Linked DNA regions of Schizosaccharomyces pombe. The main gene of each other region encodes a partner of the protein of the gene in region 3 in a complex. Each region holds a gene or a part of one and is shown on either strand. Other genes may lie near its edges. The genes, in order: rpa2, rpa12, rpa43 and rpa49.

Region 1 (8,166 bases), 2.0 Mb from region 3:
ATGCTGTCAGCTTGTGTAGGAAGTGTAATTACAACGCTGACTGTAACGCCTTTAGATGTTGTGAAAACCCGCTTGCAGAGTGAATCTATTTCTCAATATTCTTCTACGCAACCCATTTCTTCAGCAAAGATATTGGGGAAGGGAAGGCCAGCTCCAAAGCCTTTAGGAGGCCCGGTATCCGGACTTTATCAGATCGCTCGGCATGAAGGTGTTAGAAGCTTGTGGCGTGGATTAGTTCCTTCATTGACAATGCTCTTGCCAGCAAACACTGTACAGTTTCTTGGGTATGAGCAATTACTTCCCTTATACAGTGATTGGGGCTTTCCTGCTGCTGCTGCAATCGCAGGAGCATCTGCGCGCACAATATCTGCTACTATTGTGTCTCCTATAGAATTATTCAGGACTCGAGTGCAAGCAGTAGGCGGCCATTATCCGCCCGGCCATGCGCGCGAGATTGCTAATGAGGTCTTTGATGGATTGAAATTAATGATTCATCAAAAAGGTATACTGAATTTATGGAGCGGTGTCAGCGTAACGTTGTGGAGAGATGTACCATTCAGTGCATTTTACTGGTGGTCGTATGAGAGAATTCGACTCTTCCTGCTTGGGCATCCATCACTTCAAGCATTTTCCAGCTCTCAATCTACAAAGGACCTCTATATCAATTTTGTGAGCGGAGGAATTAGTGGGACTCTAGCAACCCTATTAACTCAACCTTTCGATGTATCAAAAACTGCTAAGCAGGTGCATGGACATACGTTAACCAGAGGTCAGTTTATGTTAACCTTATGGAAGCGAGGTGGTCCCAAGGCCTTGTGGAAAGGCACGTTGCCTAGATGTGTTAAAGTTGCACCGTCCTGTGCAATCATGATTTCAAGTTATCATTTAACTAAAAAGTACTTTTCTGAGTCTGTTGATGCTTATTAATTTAGACGTTGATTTTCAGGTTTTGGTTGGCTTGATGAAACCTTTGTTCTTTTTTTTTCGGTTTAATGTTTTCATCTCTTTTCTTACAGGATTCCATTTATGTTGATAATTCCCCTCTCGCAACTCCATTTCTATTTGTAGTCTATATGTTTACTATAATACAGGATTCAAAAATGCAAATCGAAAGAGTCTTGAAAGTAAAATAGGTTGGGTTAATTTACGAAGCGTAGAAACTAAAAATTAATATTTTTTAATTTCTGATATTAGTCTCTAAAATAAAGCCATAGTAGAACAAGCTTGCTATGTTTTTACCAGACATTGAAGCTAATGCTTTCATTATATACCCATTGTTGTTCTTTTTAAAAGCTTTTTCAATGGTTGAGGATACATATATTTTATTCAATGTTTTTCTTTTCCGTTATTGAAAAGCAGAAACAGCTCGGGCCAAAAAGTTTAGATCTTTGAAGAAAGCGATTTTTAAAGTGGGAGCTTTTGTTATCCGTTTATTTTATATGAATTGACTAGACTAGAATCGTATATAACGAAATTATTTCTAAAATAAATATTGAAAGTGATAAAAAAAAGCCCTTTAACAAGATTTTTTTTAAGATACTAAGACAAAGCAAATTAAATATTTATTAGGTTTCATTCAACTGATCGGTGATATGAACTGTAACAGGGCAATGGTTACTTGTGTTTAAGCTTTTCTTCTTGAATTTACTGAGATAAGCAACAAGTAAGGACTTGCAGGAGACATTCTAAAATATCAATAAACAAATTCTTTATAGCTTCAATTGCGGTATAAATCAAATATTAGTAGCGTCGATCACCAACTTATCTGTCAGCGTACAGTGAGTACACTTTCGATAACACTTTACCTTTTCTATTACTCTTCAAAGACAATGGATAGTCGTTCATTAATAAAATCAAGCAAGAACACTACCCAAAAAGCGATTTACTATTAGAATTGAATTAGGCAGTGGAATGAACAACGCTATACTATTGCATATTCCGCACTTCAGCGCCTTAATGTTTAAACCATTTTACCGCTTTTCATTAAAGCTTGTTAAGTGTTCGCTTAACGCTCAATTTAGTATGAATATAGCAGGTGTCCTCCGCCAAAATTTTCTCTGCAAACCTGGGATGTCATTCCAAACGTTAGAGCGAGAAAGGACGTTTAAAAATCCGCCCAAGGACGGAACGAGCTTTCCAGATTTGCAAAAGGCCGTAAAACCTCATGTTGATTCCTTTAACGCCCTTACTAATGCCGGACTACTCAACTATGCTGTTAAGGAAATTGGTGAGAAATGTGCATTTGACTCGATCACACAAGAAGAAGGTGGTGCATTGAAATTTGGAAATAAGATTTCCTTCCGCGTTGATGAGGTTCAAATTGCGAAGCCAATGTTGTCTAGTCGTGAAAGGTCTTCTATTAACCGCAAAGTCTACCCTGCTGAAGCCAGAGAGCGTTTGACTACTTATAAATCAAGATTGGTTCTTAAATTCTCATGGAGTGTCAATGGAGGCCCTAGACAATCAGAAATGCGTGAAGTAGGCATGATTCCCATCATGGTACGGTCCAACAGATGTCATCTGGAAGGATTGTCTCCTGCCGAACTTATTGCTCATAAAGAGGAGAGCGAAGAGATGGGCGGTTACTTTATCGTTAACGGTATTGAGAAGTTGATTCGTATGTTAATTTTACCTAAGCGCAATCATCCTACTGCCATCATTCGCCCTTCTTTTGCCAATCGTGGTACTAGCTACTCACAGTATGGTTTATCTATTCGTTGTGTCCGTCCAGACCAGTCTAGTTTAACCAACACCCTTCATTATCTTAACAATGGTGTTACGATGTTTCGTTTTCACTGGCGTAAAAACGAATATTTAATTCCTTCGATGATGATTCTTAAGGCCCTGTTAGAAACCAGCGATAAAGAAATTTTTGAGGGCATTGTTGGTAAAGATTTGGGAAATACTTTCTTGACGGATCGTGTTGAGCTTATGCTTAGAGCTTATAAGTCCTATGGTCTTTACTCCCAAACTGAAACACTTCAGTATTTGGGTAGCAAATTTCGTGTTGTTCTCGGCGTTGCTGAAGACCTAACTGATGTTGAAGTTGGCCGCTTTCTCTTACAAAAGGTTGTTTTAGTTCACCTTCGTGAAGCTAAGGATAAATTCCGCCTTCTCCTATTTATGATCCGCAAGTTATATGCACTTGTAGCTGGAGAGTGCTGTGCCGATAACCCTGACTCTCCACAACATCAGGAAATTTTATTAGGTGGTTTTCTTTATGGTCAAATTCTTAAGGAGAAGATTGAGGATTGGCTAAATAGCATCCGCGCTCAAATTAATTTGGATGTTCGACGCTCAGCGCCTGGTGTTGATTTCTCCGATCGTAAATACTTGACCCGTGTCTTTTCTAAAATTAACAATGACATCGGAACGAAATTACAATATTTCTTGAGTACCGGTAACCTTGTTTCCAATACTGGTCTTGATTTACAACAAGCTACAGGTTACACTGTTGTCGCCGAGAAGTTGAACTTCTACCGCTTTCTTTCACATTTTCGAATGGTACACCGTGGTGCATTTTTTGCTGAGCTTAAAACTACTACTGTCCGTAAATTGCTTCCTGAAGCTTGGGGTTTCATGTGTCCAGTTCACACACCCGATGGTTCTCCATGTGGTCTTTTAAACCATTTGGCTAGAAAATGTGAAATTGTCACCCATCCTTCTGATGTAAGTCAAATCCCATCACTTTTGCTATCGTTGGGTGTTGATCCTCCAAGTGTAGTTGGTCATGAATCTGGTTGGGGATGCGTACAATTGGATGGAAAGATTGTTGGTTGGTGTACTTACAAACTTGCTAAGCACGTTGCTGATGTGCTACGTTTAATGAAAATTGAATATGCTGTCAAGTTGCGTAATGGAACTGCCACTGAACCTGCTAAGGTCCCTTTAGATTTGGAAATTGGATATGTGCCTCCGTCTCATAACGGGCAATATCCAGGTCTTTATCTGTTTAGCAATCCTGCAAGGATGGTTCGACCGGTTAAGCACATTTCTACTGGTGAACTTGATATGCTTGGTCCATTTGAGCAAGTTTACATGGATATTGCATGTTTCCCTAAAGAAATCGTTCCTAAAGTTTCTACTCATGTAGAGTATTCGCCCACAAATGTACTCTCCATCGTTGCCAATATGACTCCATTCTCAGACTTTAACCAGTCTCCTCGTAACATGTATCAATGTCAGATGGGTAAACAAACTATGGGTACGCCTGGTACGGCCCTTCGTTATCGTACTGACAACAAACTTTATCGTCTTCAAACAGGACAAACACCAGTTGTTCGTCCTAAGCTTCACAATACCTATGGCCTCGATCATTATCCAAATGGTACAAACGCTGTTGTTGCCGTTATCTCATACACTGGTTACGATATGGAAGATGCTATGATTTTGAATAAATCTGCTCATGAGCGTGGTTTTGGTTATGGTACTGTATATAAGGGTGAATCTTTTGACCTTTCCCAAAAGCGTCGCAGAGGTGAACCAGTCGTTCACCATTTTGGTTTTGCTCCCGGTTCAACGCCTCGTCGCGAATGGTTGCAAAAGTTAGACGCCGACGGGTTACCTTTTATTGGAATTAAACTTGAGGATGGAGATCCCATTGTCGCTTACTATGATGAATCTACTGGTCAAAATTTTATTGAAACCTATCACGGTACTGAGCCTGGTTTTGTTGACGAAGTTAGACTCCTTGGTAATGATGTTGGTGATTCCGAGTGTCAGCAAATTCATGTTAAGCTTCGTATTACCCGTAGTCCGATTATTGGTGACAAATTTTCCTCTAGACATGGACAAAAGGGTATTTGTTCACAAAAGTGGCCCACTGTCGATATGCCGTTTACAGAAAGCGGAATGCAACCTGATATCATTATTAATCCTCATGCGTTCCCCTCTCGTATGACAATTGGTATGTTTATTGAAAGTTTAGCTGGTAAAGCTGGCGCCTGCCATGGCTTGGCTCAAGACAGCACACCCTTTATCTATTCTGAGCAGCAAACTGCTGCTGACTACTTTGGCGAACAATTGGTTAAGGCTGGTTACAACTATCATGGAAACGAGCCTATGTATAGTGGTATCACAGGACAGGAGATGAAGGCTGATATTTATATTGGAGTTGTCTACTATCAACGTCTTCGCCATATGGTTAGTGATAAATTTCAAGTACGTACAACCGGACCCATTCATAATCTTACTCGTCAACCCGTCAAAGGTCGCAAACGTGCTGGTGGTATTCGTTTCGGTGAAATGGAACGTGATGCTGTTATCGGTCATGGCACATCGTTCTTGATGCAGGATCGTTTAATGAATTGTTCTGATTATGCCCAGAGCTGGGTTTGTCGAGATTGTGGGTCTATTATTTCTATCATGTCTACAATTTCGATGAATGGCGTAGGAAGTGCCTCAGAAGTCAGGTGCAGAAGCTGTGCCAAACCCGCTTTGGGATTGGAAGATACCAGTGACATTTGGCAGGATGGTAGCGGAAAGAAATTTGTCGGCGGCACAAATACTACGTTGATCGCATTACCCAGTGTTTTCAATTACTTGACGGCGGAACTTACTGCTATGAATATTAAAATGATGCTTGAAGTTAAATAGATTAAAGTGTTGAAAAGAGTATTGAAATTAATATATTCGCTTTCAACTTCTTTAAAAAAAATTTTTTTAAAAGGACTGACAAAATGCCATGGGTGATGTGTGTATTTTCAGTTCCATTTGATTCTGTTTTCTTTCGCAACAGGTTTCTGATTTTTGCTTCGGATTACGTTTTGCATATAAAATTACTTATTGTTTTGGGGGAAGAGTTAATAAAAAAACTTATATAGAAAACTATAAAGGTAGGTCTAGGTGGACTAATAATAAATTGATTGATTTTTATCTTTTTGATTAAGAAGCGGCTAAGACATAATTGACAAGAAAAAGTTTATTATTAGATGTCTTTTTGCTTTAAATTGTATTATATATTGGTTAATAGATACTTGATACCAAAGAGTGATCGAATGTTCAAAGAAGCAGATTAATCAGAGGTTGAGATCTGATGCAAATTCGTGAGCACACATTCGTATGGAGAAAAGAGAATTGATATCTTATAATTTTAAGAACAGCTCAACTACAGAAAATCTATGCACTCAATTATAAAAAATACCTATTCGCATGGTTCACATTTAAGAGCAGCATAATGACGAATTACAGAAACCCACGCTAAATTGTATTTTGTGCTTCATTATACTATATTAGATAACCGATATTTAGTATAGTGTGTAAGCTACGCAGTTTGGTATCTGATTTAAGGATACGTAGAACTGCGGTGAGTTTTCCTTGTGATCTATTATATTACAATACACAGGTTGTATGAGTAGCAACTGAGTATAGGTATTGTATTAACTGGGTTATAATGTTACCTATCACTAATATAGCTCATAACTGAACTGAGGAACGAGGTTCGGCTGTAACGCTATTTCGGCAACCGATATTAATAGACTTCATATAACAATAAATATACATTGTTAGTTAACATACTGCATACCGCTATATTGTAAGTCGTAAGAGAAACTCACCGTAATTCTATGTATCGTTAAATATATACCAAACTGCGTAGCTGACTATAGCAAAAAACTCAAAAAATCACTAAATGAATTTGTTTATTAGGAGCATAATAATTATCTTTTCAACTATTGTGGATTTCTTGTACAATTGTTTTTTTTTGTGCTATGAGCCCAATCTTTCATATGAATGCTTATTTTTGAAAACCTAGTTTACTTGACGCGTCTATTAAAAGCTTGAAAATTAGCGACATTCTCGTTGCATGAATGCTTAAAGAATGCACACTTTTCTAAATGAAAGTCTTATTTTTAATTAATTAAACCAACTAAATAAAATAGGAAAGAGTGATGGGTATTTTTAAGAAAAGCCGTTGGCGACCTATTTCATGATCTCAACGATGCGTCTTGTCCAAGTGCCAACGACAACTTTTGCCTGAGAATCTTATCACGTAGACAAACTGTACTGCTGGTAAGATGACTAGCGCATTTTATGGCGGAGATGAAGTTTCAGCTATTGTAATTGATCCTGGAAGCAAATGGACTCGAATAGGTTTTTCTGGAGAAGATATTCCCAAATGCGTACTCCCTAGCTACTGTGGAGAGTTCAGTGATGGCAGACGGTTGTTCGGTGAGGAATACATATATAAATCAAACCCTGGAATGGAAATAAAAAATGCAATTCGTAATGGTTGGGTTGAAAATTGGGATGTTACTGTAGATCTCTGGCGTTATGGATTAGAGCAGCAGTTGAAGACTAATCCTTTAGAGCATCCAATCTTGATTACGGAACCATTTGATAATCCCCCAGAAAATCGAGTGAAAACACTAGAAACGATGTTTGAATCTTTGCGTTGTCCTGCAACATACCTCGCCAAGCAGGAGACGTGTGCGGCGTTTGCAAGCGGGAAAGGTACTGCTTGTTTAGTAGACATTGGTGCGGAGCGTAGCTCGGTGTCTGCTATATATGATGGTTTTGTGCTTCAAAAAGGCTATCAGGTTCAACATTTTTCTGGGAATGCAATTAACGATATTTTGGCGCAAACTCTCAGGGATAAGAATTTCGAAGTGATGCCTAAGTACTTAGTGAAAAGCAAAAATCCAGTGGAGATAGGGCAGCCAGCTAATTGTGAGTTACGTCCTCGTGATACTACAGATTCTTATCATCAATTTCAGGTCCAGCGAGTCTACGATGAATGGAAAGAAGAATGTGCTCTCATTTCCGATGTTCCATTTTCATCTGAAACCACGATTGCTGAATCAGAGTTCGAATTTCCAGACGGTTCCCGTATGATGTTTGGCGCGGAACGCTATCAAATTCCTGAACATTTGTTTGTGCCAGGAAGTGATGAAGAAATGAACGAGGAACCTTCGAAGCCAATAGAACAAACCGAAAATAATGAGGTATCACAACAAGATTCTTCGGTTACCAACACTTCTTCTCGCATTTTGGGGATACCTCAGTTGTTCCAGAACTGTATTTCGGAATGCGATGTTGATATCCGTGCTTCTTTGCTCAACAATGTTATTGTTTGTGGAGGCACTAGTTTGATGCAAGGATTCTCTCTTCGTCTGCAAAATGAACTTTCAAAATTATATCCTGGCAGCCGTCTTAAAATCCATGCTTCCG
Region 2 (3,024 bases), on a different chromosome or scaffold from region 3:
CATGGTTACGTATAACTATACTAAAGCAGTGGTACTCCATCCTTATGCAACAATTCTACAAATGGAAATTTTACAAGACACAGATTTTAACGTACTTTTAAAGTATCTTACCTTTATTTAGATACGCTTAAAATCTCTAACCTTTTTTATCATCCTTTTTCTTTACCAAACTGGTTTACTTGTTTCTTTCCTTGGCAAAAACCGAGCTACGCAATGATCGGCAAAGTAAATATCCATTTTCACCGACAAGATATGGTACTCACTAAGTAATTTCCATTATGTAGCAACAATAACTCTTCCTATACATTTTTGTTGCCTACAATCCCATAGACTATGTCACGTTGCACTCTTCCAAAAAGGACTACCCCAGAAAGAGAGAGAGATATGAGGAAAAAAATTTTTGCTTCTAAATAACTAGAGCAAACAAGTCCCACTGTTGTCAATCGTCGGGTACAGCACAATAATCTCACTAGTAAAAACATGCCATATTCATCTCTGTTTTACCAAAATAGAAAATCAACCTTACATTGCATAATATAGGAATACGGAAGCGAGCCCTATACAGATGGACTGGGTTATGGCGGTTATAGACAAAGGCGCTTTCAAAACCATAATGGATTTGAAACGCTCAAGTAGTGGAAAACACATAATAGTAAGTATAATGCCAAATCCTTTGTAGAAAATACACAGACCTTTTTATTGAAATCGTGAATATGATTCTTTTTTTTTTGGTGATCTCTTTTCTTATTAATGCTATATCTTTTGAATTTATTTGTTTTTTCTTTTATTTAGTAGTATTTTTTTTGCATTTTGTTATTTATCTGTTCGCTTTTCTGTTGTACATGTAATAGTTGCAACGTACAGACAAATTAAATTTTTATTATTCTTATATTTTTTATTATTTCCAAGCTTATCACATAAATTACGATTAAAATACCTAAAGTGCAAAATATGATTTCCAAATTGATGATTCAATCAAGCAAAATAATTTTCTTTTGAGATAAGGAAGAATTTGTTAAATAATCAAAAGCACAATTTATAAGGTACAACGATTTTGAAAGTCGCTAGTATATATGTACACAAATCTTGTTCTGTATTCCGTGACAGGCTTTGTATTTGAACAAAGTATTGCCCAGCTAGACAAAAATCGTTTGGGCAACAAAATTTTAAAGTAGCAAGAAATAGCTTCAAACAATTAGTTGATGCTTGAAAAAATACAAAGAAATTTTTCTTACCGAATTTTTTCCAGAAACAACGATACAATACTTATATAGGTGAAATTTCCCGAGAAAGCTTTTTAAATTCCCCAACTTGGAATTCCAAGGTTGATTTATCAATAAGTAATTTCTTTACAAAAACGAATGATTTTTAAATGTCTGTAATTTATGCCTTTAGCATAATGTTCATCAATAGATCAGGAAATTCGTTTACTCATCTCTAGCTTATTGTTTACTAATTAAGGCACTATACTGATCATAGTCGCTCACAGTGTGTATTGGCTTTTACGATAATGATACACTCGCTTTTCCATCACTTACCGCAAAATAATGAGTTACAGCGAAAGAAAATTGCACTTGTCAAAGACAAACTAGCTTGTCATAAACACCAGTGCCTTCCCCATCAAGCAAGGAGGAATCCCAATGTCGGCAATAGGGTCTTTGATATTTTGCTCAGAATGCGGTAACTTGTTGGAATCGACTACTGCCCAATGGACTACTTGTGATCAGTGTCAATCCGTTTATCCTTCTGAGCAATTTGCCAATTTGGTAGTGGAAACGAAGAGTAGTGCAAGTGCTTTTCCTTCTGCTTTAAAACTCAAGCACAGTATCGTTCAAGTAGAATCTCAGAAGGAGGAGGCAGCAACGGTATGTAACTTATTTTTGTCTATTCTTTTCGAATCCTTTTTTTCATGTTGGTTGTCATTCTTCTTTCCTTTTAGGCTTTGTATCATTTGGAAAACTTTTTTTTTTTTAAGAATGCATTAGGAGAGTCTAATCAAGGAACTTTTTTGTATCATATATCCAGTGAATTGAAAAATCGGCACAGTCAGGCAAAGGACTTTATCATAGTCCTTTTTTGGGTTTATTGCCATACTAACAAAGTTTTGTAGATTGAGGAAAAATGTCCAAAATGTGGAAACGACCATATGACTTTCCATACTTTGCAATTGAGGTCTGCTGATGAAGGTTCTACGGTGTTTTACGAATGTCCTCGATGTGCTTATAAATTTAGTACAAACAATTAGATTGAGTTTTCATCTGTTAATCATTCTTTTGGTTGTGATTTTCTCAATATTTCACTGTTTCTTACGCCGTTCTTCATGTATGTATGCTGACTGATTTGTATGAAGACTATTGTTTTTAATATCTTCGATTGTCCTTCTGCTTCCGTTATTTTCATGCTCGATAAATTTTATTTGTCTAGTAATACGGCAACGTTCATGAAATAGAAAGAGATGCTCTTGATATCCGATTTTCTTGTTTTGTCTTCTATTTTATCCAGGTGTTAAAAAAAATAACAGTTCTTCTGTTCTTGTTGGTTCTATTTTTCGGGGTTACTTTTTGTTTAAAAAATAATATGGTATAACTTATTCCTTTATTCATTATTGTCTTTCCTGGTTCAAACTAAATAGAGAAAATTCATTGTCTATCACGATTGAACCTGTGGATACTTCCTTTCTCAGAATTTTTAAAGAGTTTGAGTTTCAATGTTTATCAGCATTTTATGAATAGTAGTATATCGGTTATTTATTTCTTTTTCTCTAATATGGAAATGAATGTGTAACGAAATGGAGCGTACTATGTACCGTAACACTCAAGAGCCCAAATGGGCAGGTAGGTGTTCAACCATTTGAAATATATTCTCACCTGCCTTTTCACATATGGCGTCTGTTAAATCCTTTAAACGAAAATATTTAAAACTTCGAAAGTCATTTGATTCGGTAGTCCTTGAAACAGAGGAAATTGAACAAAAGATTGCTGAAATATCAGAAGTTTATCGCAGAATTTTATTAGAAAATGCGTA
Region 3 (5,041 bases):
ATATTTAACAATTATTAATATTGATATATTAGATTTCTTGAAACTATCGTGTAAACAGTTTCTCAAATGAATTAAAAATAAAATAGGTGTAGGTTAAGATTAAATGGTTACGTTGGGAATCGAATACCCATAACAGGTAGTCATATTAATTAAGGCGTGTGTAGAGAGGAATCTACTAAAGCGAAAGAAAAATACAATGTTAAAAGGAATGAATATTAATTAGATAGTGTACAGTTATTATTCCTATGATTCATCAAACCATTTAGTCAATTCTTCTGATAATTCGTCAAATTCGTTTTTCCAGTATAGTAAGCTAGAACCAGATTCTTCATAAACATCACGTACAATGTAACCGTCCATCTCAGCTTGATAAAGTCTTTCTAACGTTACACCAATGGACCAATGCAACCTCATTGCACATTTCAAAGCCGTAGTGCTAGGATTCATAACTTCCAATATAGCGGACAAAAGTTTTCCTGAATGATTAGAAGTTTTTAATTGAAAAAGGATAAGCCCAGAGTTCATTTTGGACGTTGTTATACCAACCTCCATGGAATCTATTAGTTCACAAGCCTTCACAAATCTGGTCGGAGGAATCAGGTTTGCTTTTCTTGACCGATTATAGATGGCCCAAGCCTGGGTCATGGTAACCGTATCGGTATCAGCTTTTAACCTTGTGCGTAAAACTTCTGAGATACTTTTACATAGTTCAATATCATACAATCGAGAATTAGCCGAAACAGGAACATTATCTAAATGATTTCCTCGTAACACTCCTAACTGATTCGATTTGTTTAAAAGCTGCTGTACCTTGTCAGACTGTTGAGTGCCGGTCAGCCCATCCATCTTTTCAGCAAATTGGTCAGCCAGAGACATAGTATCTTTCGCTAAAGAAAAAAAAGCATCTAAATCTTGAAACGCATGTACTAAGGTACGTCCATTTTTGGCTAATTGCATCTCATGAGATTGCTCAAGATCATGAATACCACCCATTCGCAAAGACTTTTCAAGGATGGCCTTCCTCAGAACTTTAGTATCATATTTATTCGAGTATCTTTGTTTTTCTATTTCATCTGTTTCAGATTTGATAGCTTCGTAAAACTTGGATGAACCCGAGCCTCTAAACGAGAGTTGTATAAGCTGGTTTCTATCGACATTTTTTAATTGATTGCCGCAAATTTCACAAGTATTCAGATCCGGATAATTTTGAAAAGTACACGCGGTGCATAATCCTTGAGAAAAACGCGCATCTGATTTCGGCTTTATAATAGTAAATCGGTTAGCAACTCCACAGTTTCTACAAGGATTAATGGGATCACCCACATTGATAAATGTACAAATTTTGCAAGCCCATGACTTTTCCACATGTCGCAGAGAAAGGCGAATTTTTGGGGAGGAGCGAAAATACCTAGAGGTATGCTGTACATCTCTTATATCGGAGATTTTAATTTTTAATGAATTCTTTTTAGGATCTACTGAATCTACGTAGAAGATGTGTTTTTTTGTCAAATATAATGTTCCATTATTATGACGAAAACTTTTCTCATCTCCGAAGTATAAACCTACCTGGTCTTGAACTAGCAAAATTTCTTCTGAAGGATCCAAAACCGGTAGATTAGAAGGGGTTGTTTCTAAATAAAAGGCCATATTAGAAGGAGAGATTAACCAAAATGATAATTGTCAAGTGAATTAAAACTTATATAACATGTCATGTGCCTTGGTTAACTAGTCGAGACCAACAATTGATTTGAGATAATCTGTGAGTACGACTTTCGCTTTATTTAGCTACCTTTAAAAAAAATATTTTTGGATGACAGCTGTGAATGTCGATATATAAATAACATAAATGAAGCCTGTCAAAAGCTCGATTTAATATGTTACAATAAAAAAATCAAACCGTAGTCTTAATAAAAAACAACCCAAGGATCACAAACTAGCGATAAAAGATGCAACAGTGCCAGAATAACTTTTGTAAATGCAGTGAAATAAGTCGTGGAACGTTAAAAGGTCCCAGAAAAATAACTTGTCAAGATTTAACCTGAATTTGGAAAAAGCCTTTAAGGAATTAAAAGACTTTGATTTACAGATATAGACTTAGCAGTCAATATATAATGTCAACGAATTCATCAAAGATACACTGTATATTGAATTACCCACGAACTTTGATTGTCGAGCTCCAAAAATTGGATGCACTAGTGTATTGTGTTATTTAAAATAGTGAATCACTATATGCTTCGTATCTTTGACCAAGAGTTTACCTCTCAGCAGTAGTCATCGAAGCCATCATATTCCTATTTGCTCGAAAATGAGTGATTTTTATGTTCGATACTAGTATGCAAAAAAGCTGTAAATAGTTTTGAATGCTAACTGACTGAAGCTCGGGACACCATGGTCGATTCGGACACGAGTTCTTGGGTACGCGATAATATTAGACGCAAGGTCGCGCAGCTAACCAAACATTTGCTAGAATTCGATTATCATAGTGATGGGCTAGGTATGAATAGAGTCAACAATTTTCTGATTCATATTAGCAACAGTGGTTTGACATGAATACTAATTCAATTAGCTAGATACGCAAACAATTCTAACTATCGGAACGATTCGTTAATCCGAAAGGAGAGTATGTTTTAGTACTACATTTCTGTTCGATCGTATTAACAAAGCCTTAAAGTGTTCGTCAGTGAGCTTGTTTTAAAAGAAGTTCAACGTATTGTAGATGACAGTGAGATCATAAAGCAAGTCATTTCTTTCAATTTTTTATACTAACTACTATTTAGAGAATCAGATGAAAGTTGGCCACCTGAAAATAAAGATGGTAAGCAGGAACTTGAAATTCGTATGAATGGAAAACACATCATGTTTGAAGTAAGATTGCTCTTCATTTGGCATAAATATATTCATTCTAGATACTTTTAAGCTAATATAAACTACTAGACCTGTAAACTTGGAAGTTTGGCAGACGTTCAAAATAGTGATGATCCAGAAGGGCTAAAAGTTTTCTACTACCTAATTCAAGATTTAAAAGCATTGTGCTTTAGTCTCATCTCCCTAAATTTTAAGCTCCGACCTGTTAAAAACTAGATGCATTCCATTTTCTTATATATTAGGGCGAAAAAGTTTTATGTGAAACATTGGTTTACTATTTGGGTTTGATTACCTTTGTTTCGTTTCTAAATGTACAGTCTCAAAGCTGAAAAACGTTCGAGCTTTAGGAAGGAATTTCAGTTTTTATGCTAAATTAACCGTATTGCACTTTTAATTCCATATCATAAGCGGTTAAGAATTGACTATTTATTTGGGAACATCTTAGAATATGGCAACCATTCCATGGTAGTCGCGTTACAAAATCTTTTTTTCAATAAGATATCAAAAAAATCTTGAAATAATTTTAGCTATATTAAATAGACACTATTTGTATAGTAATGAGCGATTCACTTATTTTGTCTCAATAATATTCTTCATTTAAATAAGAGAAAAAAAAGGTAAAGTATTTCTTATTGTAATTAAAAAAAAAATTTCAATGTCTTGAGCACTGTAGTGACATGGTGTCATTTACAGAATTGGCATTTCTATTGATGCCATAGTATCGCCTATTTAGCTGTTAACCTTTCTCGAAGACATGATATGTTATATATGACCTTGGTTGATCAATTGAAGAGCTTTGTTTACCCTTGAACATATCTGTAAAACTGGATGCAGTCGATGAAGGAAATTTGCGTTCCGCCAACATGCCGGATTTATCACTCTACAAACAGACTGTAGATTTATACCTTTCCATTGCTCCTGGACACAGCAGGGATCCTTTAAATGCTATTCAGGAGCATATGGATAGTATGATTCTTAGCAAACTCCCAAGAATCAATGGAATAGTGTTGGCGTACGACAATATTCGATTCCTGGAAAAAAGTGCAAAGGTCATGTATGACTCCCCATTCTCCTTTATATGGGTCCGTGTAGACGTTTTAGTATTTTCTCCCAAAAAAGGCGATTGTTTAGGTATGAAATGCTTAGAAATTCGAGATTCTATGATGGATTTGTATCATGATAATTCAGTCGTGCAAAATTTTATACCAACTCCAAAATAAATGCTAACTATCACTAGAAGGAAAAATTAATTTAGTCAGTCCAAGTCATATTGGTCTATTAATTTTGGGTATTTTTAATGCATCTATTCCGCGAAAATCTATACCTAAAGATTGGATTTTTATTGAGCCCGATACTACGGAAGAACAAGGTCGTTGGAAGACAAATGATGGAAATATTCTGGAGCCTGGTAAAGATTTGGAGTTTGTAGTAGATGGGTATGTCGTAAACTATATACTGTTTTAACTAAAGTTTGATTAAATTATGACTAACAGTTAATCTAGTATACAAAGAGAAGCTGGGTTGACTATGGTTCAAGGGACGCTAGCAAATTCATAATAAGTATTTATATTCAAAATACAAAAGGATTGGTTACTTATGATTATGGATATTTGCCTAAGAAATTCCGGTTTATAGAATCGCGCTAAAACTAAACAGTAAGTTATTTTGAAGCGGTGTGTATGTACTTTCAATTGTATGATTTTATAAAAGTAGGCAATTGTTGATTTAAGCTTAAGGAATGAAATGAATGATAATTCATAGTTATCTTTTTTCTAGACTTTTGATTTCATCTAGTGATACTCTCATTTTCAATTTGTTGCATATAGACATTGAATGCTTTCCACAACCCAAGCGTTTGGAACTATTTATTTATAAATTCGACAGTTTAATATAACTTATGGACAGCCAGTTAGCCTGCAATTTATTGACAAAATAATTGGTTAAAATCTTCAAAAAGCACTATTTGATTTAATACGTCAGGTGAAGGATTAATATCTTCTTTAAATAAATCGAGATCTACTTATAACACATCAATGCTTAGACAAATAAGCTTAAGTTTTATTACCACGTTTGTTTTTCTGTATTTTAATAATAACATCAATAATAAAATTTTTTCAATTATCTCAAATTGATCATTAAGCAATATGAATTAATTTGATCACTTTAGAGTGCAATA
Region 4 (5,839 bases), on a different chromosome or scaffold from region 3:
GTTAGCAATACCATTTTAGTGAAAAGAATTTATAACGTTCTTTTCTTTGGTAGTTGAAAATATTGAATATTTCAAAAATACTCAATAGCATTGAAAAACAGCTTGGTTATATTCAATTTTGCTGAATCTCGTTGATTGCTTAATTGAATAATTATCAATTTCCTCGTTCATTAATTTTTGACTTTTTTCTTTTAATTTAATTTTATTTTTTTGTTCATACATTATGTTGGGATCATTTGTTAAGTTAAACAATGGACTTAAGTGCCCTCAATTTGCTTACGGTTCTTACATGGTGAATCGTACAAAATGCTTCGATTCGGTGTATGCTGCCCTTCAATGCGGATATCGACACATCGATTCGGCTCAGATGTATCACAACGAGGCTGACTGTGGAAGAGCCATCCTTAAGTTCATGGAAGAGACTGGTACGAAACGAGAGGATATTTGGTTCACTAGCAAGCTTAATGATTTAAGTGGGTACAAATCTACTTTGAGCAGTATTGATGCCAGTGTTAAGGCATGTGGCCTTGGCTATATTGATCTGTTTCTTCTTCACTCTCCCTATGGTGATCGTATTGAATCATGGAAGGCGTTGGAGAAAGGTGTTGAAGAGGGAAAACTTCGTGCTATCGGCGTTTCCAACTTTGGTCCTCATCACATCCAGGAATTGTTGGACAGCCATCCAAAGATTATACCATGTGTCAATCAAATCGAACTTCACCCTTTTTGCTCCCAACAAAAAGTCGTCGATTACTGTGAATCCAAGGGTATCCAACTTGCTGCCTACGCTCCTCTTGTTCATGGTGAAAAGTTTGGCAACAAGCAACTTCTCGCCATTGCTAGCAAGTATAACAAGTCTGAGGCTCAAATCATGATTAGATACTGTCTACAGCGTGGATTCATTGTACTTCCCAAGAGTTCTACTCCCAGGAGGATCAAAGAGAATGGCGACGTTTTCGATTTCGAAATATCTAAAGAGGATATGGAGAAGCTCTACAACTTGGATGAGGATTATCATTCGGATTGGAACCCATGCGTTTCCCCTTTATAATATGTTAAATGATCGTCTTGTAAGAGCAGAGAATGCATTTTATTATTTATTTCCTCTGCTATCCCTAGATATGCTAGTATGATAGAATTTACGAAACTCAATTTATGTCAGCTTATATACCAAACATGCATCCAATGACTGTTAGTATGAATTAGTATGAATCCGATATTACTTTTATCATATACGATCATAGATTAGAAAATTCGTATTACTTCCATTGATTTGTAAATGCTAGCATAATGTATCGTAAACTTATTAGAAACCTAAAGTACCTCATGGAAATGGCTCATTTTGGGTAGAAATATATTCAGACTCTTTACTATGTAGCTAATTAAAAGCAAATTCTACCCTAACTTTGGTTTTATCAATTCACACACTTCTCCAAGTACTTTTCGCTTCGTATATGCGACGTATGCGCACTTCACTCATCCACAACACCACACAATAAGACTCCATTAATTGCTTTCCTGTGAGCTCAAGGTACTAAAAACATGCTATTCTTAAAATCCAGCAGAGCATTTTCCAAACGACTGTTTTCTTCATCGACTGTTCGTTATAGAGATATTCAACGTTTGACATTGACTGGCAATTTAACAAAAGACGTTGAGCGTTTGCAGTCTCAAAAAGGAAACGAATATATGCGTTATACTGTAGCTTCCAATAATGGAAAAGACGTAGCCCCTACCTTTCACTCGGTTTATGTTTTCGATAGTTACAATTTCGACAGACTTCAAACTATTTTAAGGAAGGGAACGCGTGTTTATGTGGAGGCCGATGCTGTTTGGCGTTCCGTCCCAGCTGGAAATGAAGGATCTCAAGCGAAAATGAGCCTGCGACATGGTACGCAACATTGCAATGGTCCAAGTTGAAGCCTGAAGCAAAATTTGAAAACAGAATATAGTATTTACTAACCTCTCTTATTAGTATCTGCAGACGTTTTATTTTATCCTCGTAACAAAAATGGCGATGAATCCGGAGAAGAGACTCATCCTGAATTAGACGCAGATCCTATGATTAACAGCTTCTAAAATTCGTGTTTCTAGTTTAAAAATTTTCTGCACTTTAGACCGTTAATATATTTGGGTGGTATTTTTCTAGGGATTATTGAGTTTAAAAAGTCTCCTAATTCATTTTCTCTGCATTATGCACATACTTGGTATTGCTATGTATTTTTCATTTGATGTTTATTTCATTATTCCGCTGGAAATAATCTACCCATGGCTCTTCTGATTTGTTTTTATAGACAATAATGTCTCTGCTGTAATGTTTTCATTGCGTTCTAGGAATTACTTAGTCACCTTTACTCCTTCTTTTTCAAAGTGACAAATTTGTTAGTCCTTTACAGTAAATTAATAATCATTTTTTTTTATTTTAAAGTGTACTCTACGATTTGTAATATTCAGTTTCTTTAATTCTTTTCATTTAATGACTGATCCTCAAACTTCGTTAAGTTAGATTTCGCAGCCTCTGTGACTGTACACTACACTTCGTCAAACAAGCAAAGCTCTTTAAGCGCTAGCATTTTTACCAACAGCATCCACTATTGGAATGGCAGGTGACGAGTTAAAGGGCAAGAAGCGGAAATATAGAGATTCCCATTCCGGTGATGAAAAATCCGTTAAGATATTGCCTTTGAGTGAATCGAGTTTACCACCACTTGTCACGACAATTTCCGGATTTTATCCACCCGAAAATACCCGGTTCCAGCTTCTCAAAAAGAGCAATCAGAGCAACAGAGATGCGTCGTTAATTGGAAGGACAGAGCGTGTTCAATTTGAGGCTAAAAATCAATCAACGGCTACGGTTGAGGCAAATTACTGTTTAGCTGTTGCTGATAAAACTGGTCGTGTAAAAAAGATTGTTCCAGCAAAGTATCTTAATACTTTTGAAAGAAATATTTTGGCACTTCAGGAGAAGGACAAATTTTTGAAAAAGAAGCATGGAACTGTAAGCGGTACTGTTATGGAACAGCGTGCCAACTTGGGTTTGGCATTTGGTACAAGAAAAAGTCAAAAAGCTATTATGGAAGAGTCCGCCAATCGTGTCAAAGCTGAAACTTTGGGAGATGTCAAGGATCAATTGGTTAGTAATGTTCAAAAAGCTACTGAAGCACTTCCAACGCAAGAAGATATCGCTGCTGCTCAAGCGCAAGATCGCCCTATTCCTCCTGTCAATGTCGGTGCTGAATCCATTGAAGATGCATACAAATTGGAGGACATTATTCCCAAAGAAGAGTTTTCAGCTATTTACATTAAGCCTCTGTTAGAAAACCCTGACGAGCGCAATTGGGCCAAATTATTGCCGTACCGTCACTCCTTGTTTATTAATGAACGCTTCCAGCGATTACTTTCCATTGAGGAGGTTGACCAGAAGCGGGCGAGAATTTTGTATTACATTTCTCTTTTGCAAGCTTTTTTGTTTTCTCGTCGTTCTGTGGGCAACCGTGAAACTTTACGTAAAAAATTGGCTGATCCACCAGAGATTCTTATTGATGGGTTGATTAAACGTTTTACTCAAACCACCGGTATTGGTAGCGTCCAAGTATCATCTCGAGAAGTTGATAAAATCATATGTTATATTCTGGTATTGTGCTTAATCGTTGATAATTACTCAACTGATGTTCTTACCTTGGCAAATGACTTGAATGTCAAGACCATGAAGGCTAATGAGCTTTTTAGAACGGTGGGTTGTCGAATTATGGCTTACACCGAAACTCAAAGAATGGCTTTAGGTCTTAACAAAACTGATGCTAAAAATCATAAGCGTGCAGTATTAAAAATTCCCCTAGAGTTCCCTAAACCTCGACGTGGACGCGCTAGAAATTAGAGAAAAGTACAGCGTTGTTTATTTTCAAAAAAATGTGTGTGTGTTTTTTTAAAAAAAAAGAAGGACGGTATATATAGAAGAAACAACTACTGAAGTTCGTGATGTTCGATATCTCCACTGCTTATAATTGTTTTGGACGTCAAAGCGACATTGAGATATCCAAATAAAGTACCAACAAATTTTCAGAAACTTCTTATGGGAATACGGGATTAAAGGTGTTTTTTTATTATAGTGGAAGTACAGAAAATAATAAAATTTTGCATTGTATAATACTTTTGCTATAAGGCAAAGAAGGGTGACTTAGATGGTAACTAACTTTCAAGCAAAAAAGTTACCGTTTTACTCAATAAATCCTTTGGAAAGTTATAACATTGTTGTTTGACTATAGGGTAACAAATGACAATCGAAACTTAGATTCATGTTCAAAACCACCGTATTTATGATGTGCTAGGGGATGGTCTTTTGTATACAGTAATTGCTACAATCACCTGAGCATTAAATGAATTGGCAATAATATCAAGTTAGTATTAATTTTGAAATGGATTAATTATGTGGCCGTAAGTGTTTATGGTAATATGAAACAACACAAAGAAAGGAAATAAAAGGAGCGTGCAAATCCAATGATCATTTGAAACCATGATACAGTTGGTTTTAATCTTTTTCAGTATAACTTGCCCATAAAGCCACCAACTCGTTTCTCGTAACTGGCTCTGCCAAAATTAAACCGTCTCGTACAACCTGTTTAGCCTCTTCTATGCGATGCATTGCCTCCAAAGCCTTTGCTTTCCTATAATAACACTTTCCATAATTATTTCGAATTTTCAAAGCAGCATTTGCATCTGCTAAAGCTTCGGGGAATTGGGAAAGGGCAATCTCAGCAGCCGCCCGATTACACAACATAACACTTGCTTCTTCACGCGTAAGAATCGACGGTTCCCAAGTACAGCGATTCAAAGCGAGTTGTAATGCTAATCCATATAACTTTTTTGCCTCCTCATACTTTTTGCGTTTAAATGCCTCGTTTGCAGTTTGCTTCATCTTATTAACTTGGGTAGACAAGGCCATATTTGGCTTAGCAGGAGGATAGGGAGGTGGAATAAAAAAAGGATATTTAAACGTAGCTAATGACTTGGCGTATTCATTAACCTTTTTGCCCAACTCCAATTCCTTCCCACTCCATTTTGACACATCAACTTGAGGTGCAACCACCGATTCTTGTTTAGCAACCATCGAAGCAAAGTTTTAAAAGAAGAAGTAGTGAAGCTGCTCTTAATGTAAAGCACAAAGCTCGGATGGATTATTATGTACAAATAATTTAGAGAAGACAAGCAATGTTCAATGCAAGTAGTAAACTTGAAAGTGTTAGCAGAACGTGTCACAATACTTTAACACACATAAATACTAACTACGCAGTTTGTTATTTAATTTTAACGATGTGTAGAACTGCAATGAGCTTTATGATCTATTATATTGCAATATTGCAAAAAGCAGGTAATACAAGTAGCAACCGAGGACATATATAATATTTTATGTACGATCTATTGTTACCTATCATTAATATAGCTTTAACTAAACTGAGGAACGAGATTCAGCTGTACCTCTATTTATAATTGTTCTAAAGGGTGTTTTTAATAAAATTTATTTAGTTAGCGGATAGTTACCCATAATTATTAATAACCAGATCTCAACTGATATTCCAACATATCACATATAGTGATACGCAACGAAGTGTATATTAAAGTAGTGTAGTCTTGCACGGTATACATTTTTGCACATAATGCTATTCTTCATTATATGCAAGAGCACCCTGAACTGAGGTTACCAATGTAGTTGGTGTCTACTTCAATTTACGACTCACAGAAAACCCTTCAAAGGCTGAATTCTCTAAACCAACTGGAAGATAATGGATTCTTCTCCTAATGAGTTTTTGAATAAGGTCATCGGCAAAAAAGTTCTTATCCG

Evidence for each region.
Region 1: rpa43 (region 3) and rpa2 share a complex: the UniProt entries of both Schizosaccharomyces pombe proteins name them as parts of the RNA polymerase I (Pol I) complex.
Region 2: rpa43 (region 3) and rpa12 share a complex: the UniProt entries of both Schizosaccharomyces pombe proteins name them as parts of the RNA polymerase I (Pol I) complex.
Region 4: rpa43 (region 3) and rpa49 share a complex: the UniProt entries of both Schizosaccharomyces pombe proteins name them as parts of the RNA polymerase I (Pol I) complex.

Annotation. Positions count from the first base shown.
Region 1 is NC_003423.3:2,006,049-2,014,214, forward strand, and holds rpa2 (DNA-directed RNA polymerase I complex subunit Rpa2), read left to right. Parts: upstream 1-2,037; 5' UTR 2,038-2,070; coding exon 2,071-5,595; 3' UTR 5,596-5,907; downstream 5,908-8,166. Other genes in the region: mtm1 (Mn(2+) ion transporter), read left to right, coding at 1-927; alp5 (Ino80, NuA4 and Swr1 complex actin-like protein Arp4), read left to right, coding at 7,014-8,166. UniProt on the Schizosaccharomyces pombe protein: DNA-dependent RNA polymerase catalyzes the transcription of DNA into RNA using the four ribonucleoside triphosphates as substrates. Second largest core component of RNA polymerase I which synthesizes ribosomal RNA precursors.
Region 2 is NC_003421.2:1,038,493-1,041,516, forward strand, and holds rpa12 (DNA-directed RNA polymerase complex I TFIIS subunit Rpa12), read left to right. Parts: upstream 1-1,607; 5' UTR 1,608-1,640; coding exon 1,641-1,865; exon of another isoform or gene 1,866-2,110; coding exon 2,111-2,245; 3' UTR 2,246-2,524; downstream 2,525-3,024. Other genes in the region: Ino80 complex subunit Iec3, read left to right, coding at 2,882-3,021. UniProt on the Schizosaccharomyces pombe protein: DNA-dependent RNA polymerase catalyzes the transcription of DNA into RNA using the four ribonucleoside triphosphates as substrates. Component of RNA polymerase I which synthesizes ribosomal RNA precursors. Required for growth at higher temperatures.
Region 3 is NC_003423.3:3,999,918-4,004,958, reverse strand, and holds rpa43 (DNA-directed RNA polymerase I complex subunit Rpa43), read left to right. Parts: upstream 1-3,715; 5' UTR 3,716-3,728; coding exon 3,729-3,996; exon of another isoform or gene 3,997-4,102; coding exon 4,103-4,301; exon of another isoform or gene 4,302-4,367; coding exon 4,368-4,422; 3' UTR 4,423-4,492; downstream 4,493-5,041. Other genes in the region: SNARE protein Vti1, read right to left, coding at 1-2; ESCRT II complex subunit Vps36, read right to left, coding at 244-1,647; mnh1 (protein mago nashi), read left to right, coding at 2,306-2,331, 2,378-2,415, 2,468-2,494, 2,567-2,620, 2,672-2,735, 2,778-2,865, 2,935-3,081. UniProt on the Schizosaccharomyces pombe protein: DNA-dependent RNA polymerase catalyzes the transcription of DNA into RNA using the four ribonucleoside triphosphates as substrates. Component of RNA polymerase I which synthesizes ribosomal RNA precursors.
Region 4 is NC_003424.3:3,924,021-3,929,859, reverse strand, and holds rpa49 (DNA-directed RNA polymerase I complex subunit Rpa49), read left to right. Parts: upstream 1-2,580; 5' UTR 2,581-2,599; coding exon 2,600-3,877; 3' UTR 3,878-4,327; downstream 4,328-5,839. Other genes in the region: SPOM_SPAC2F3.05C (xylose and arabinose reductase), read left to right, coding at 224-1,051; single-strand DNA-binding protein Rim1, read left to right, coding at 1,543-1,891, 1,976-2,079; sec67 (translocation subcomplex subunit Sec72), read right to left, coding at 4,529-5,107; U6 snRNP-associated protein Lsm6, read left to right, coding at 5,781-5,839. UniProt on the Schizosaccharomyces pombe protein: DNA-dependent RNA polymerase catalyzes the transcription of DNA into RNA using the four ribonucleoside triphosphates as substrates. Component of RNA polymerase I which synthesizes ribosomal RNA precursors.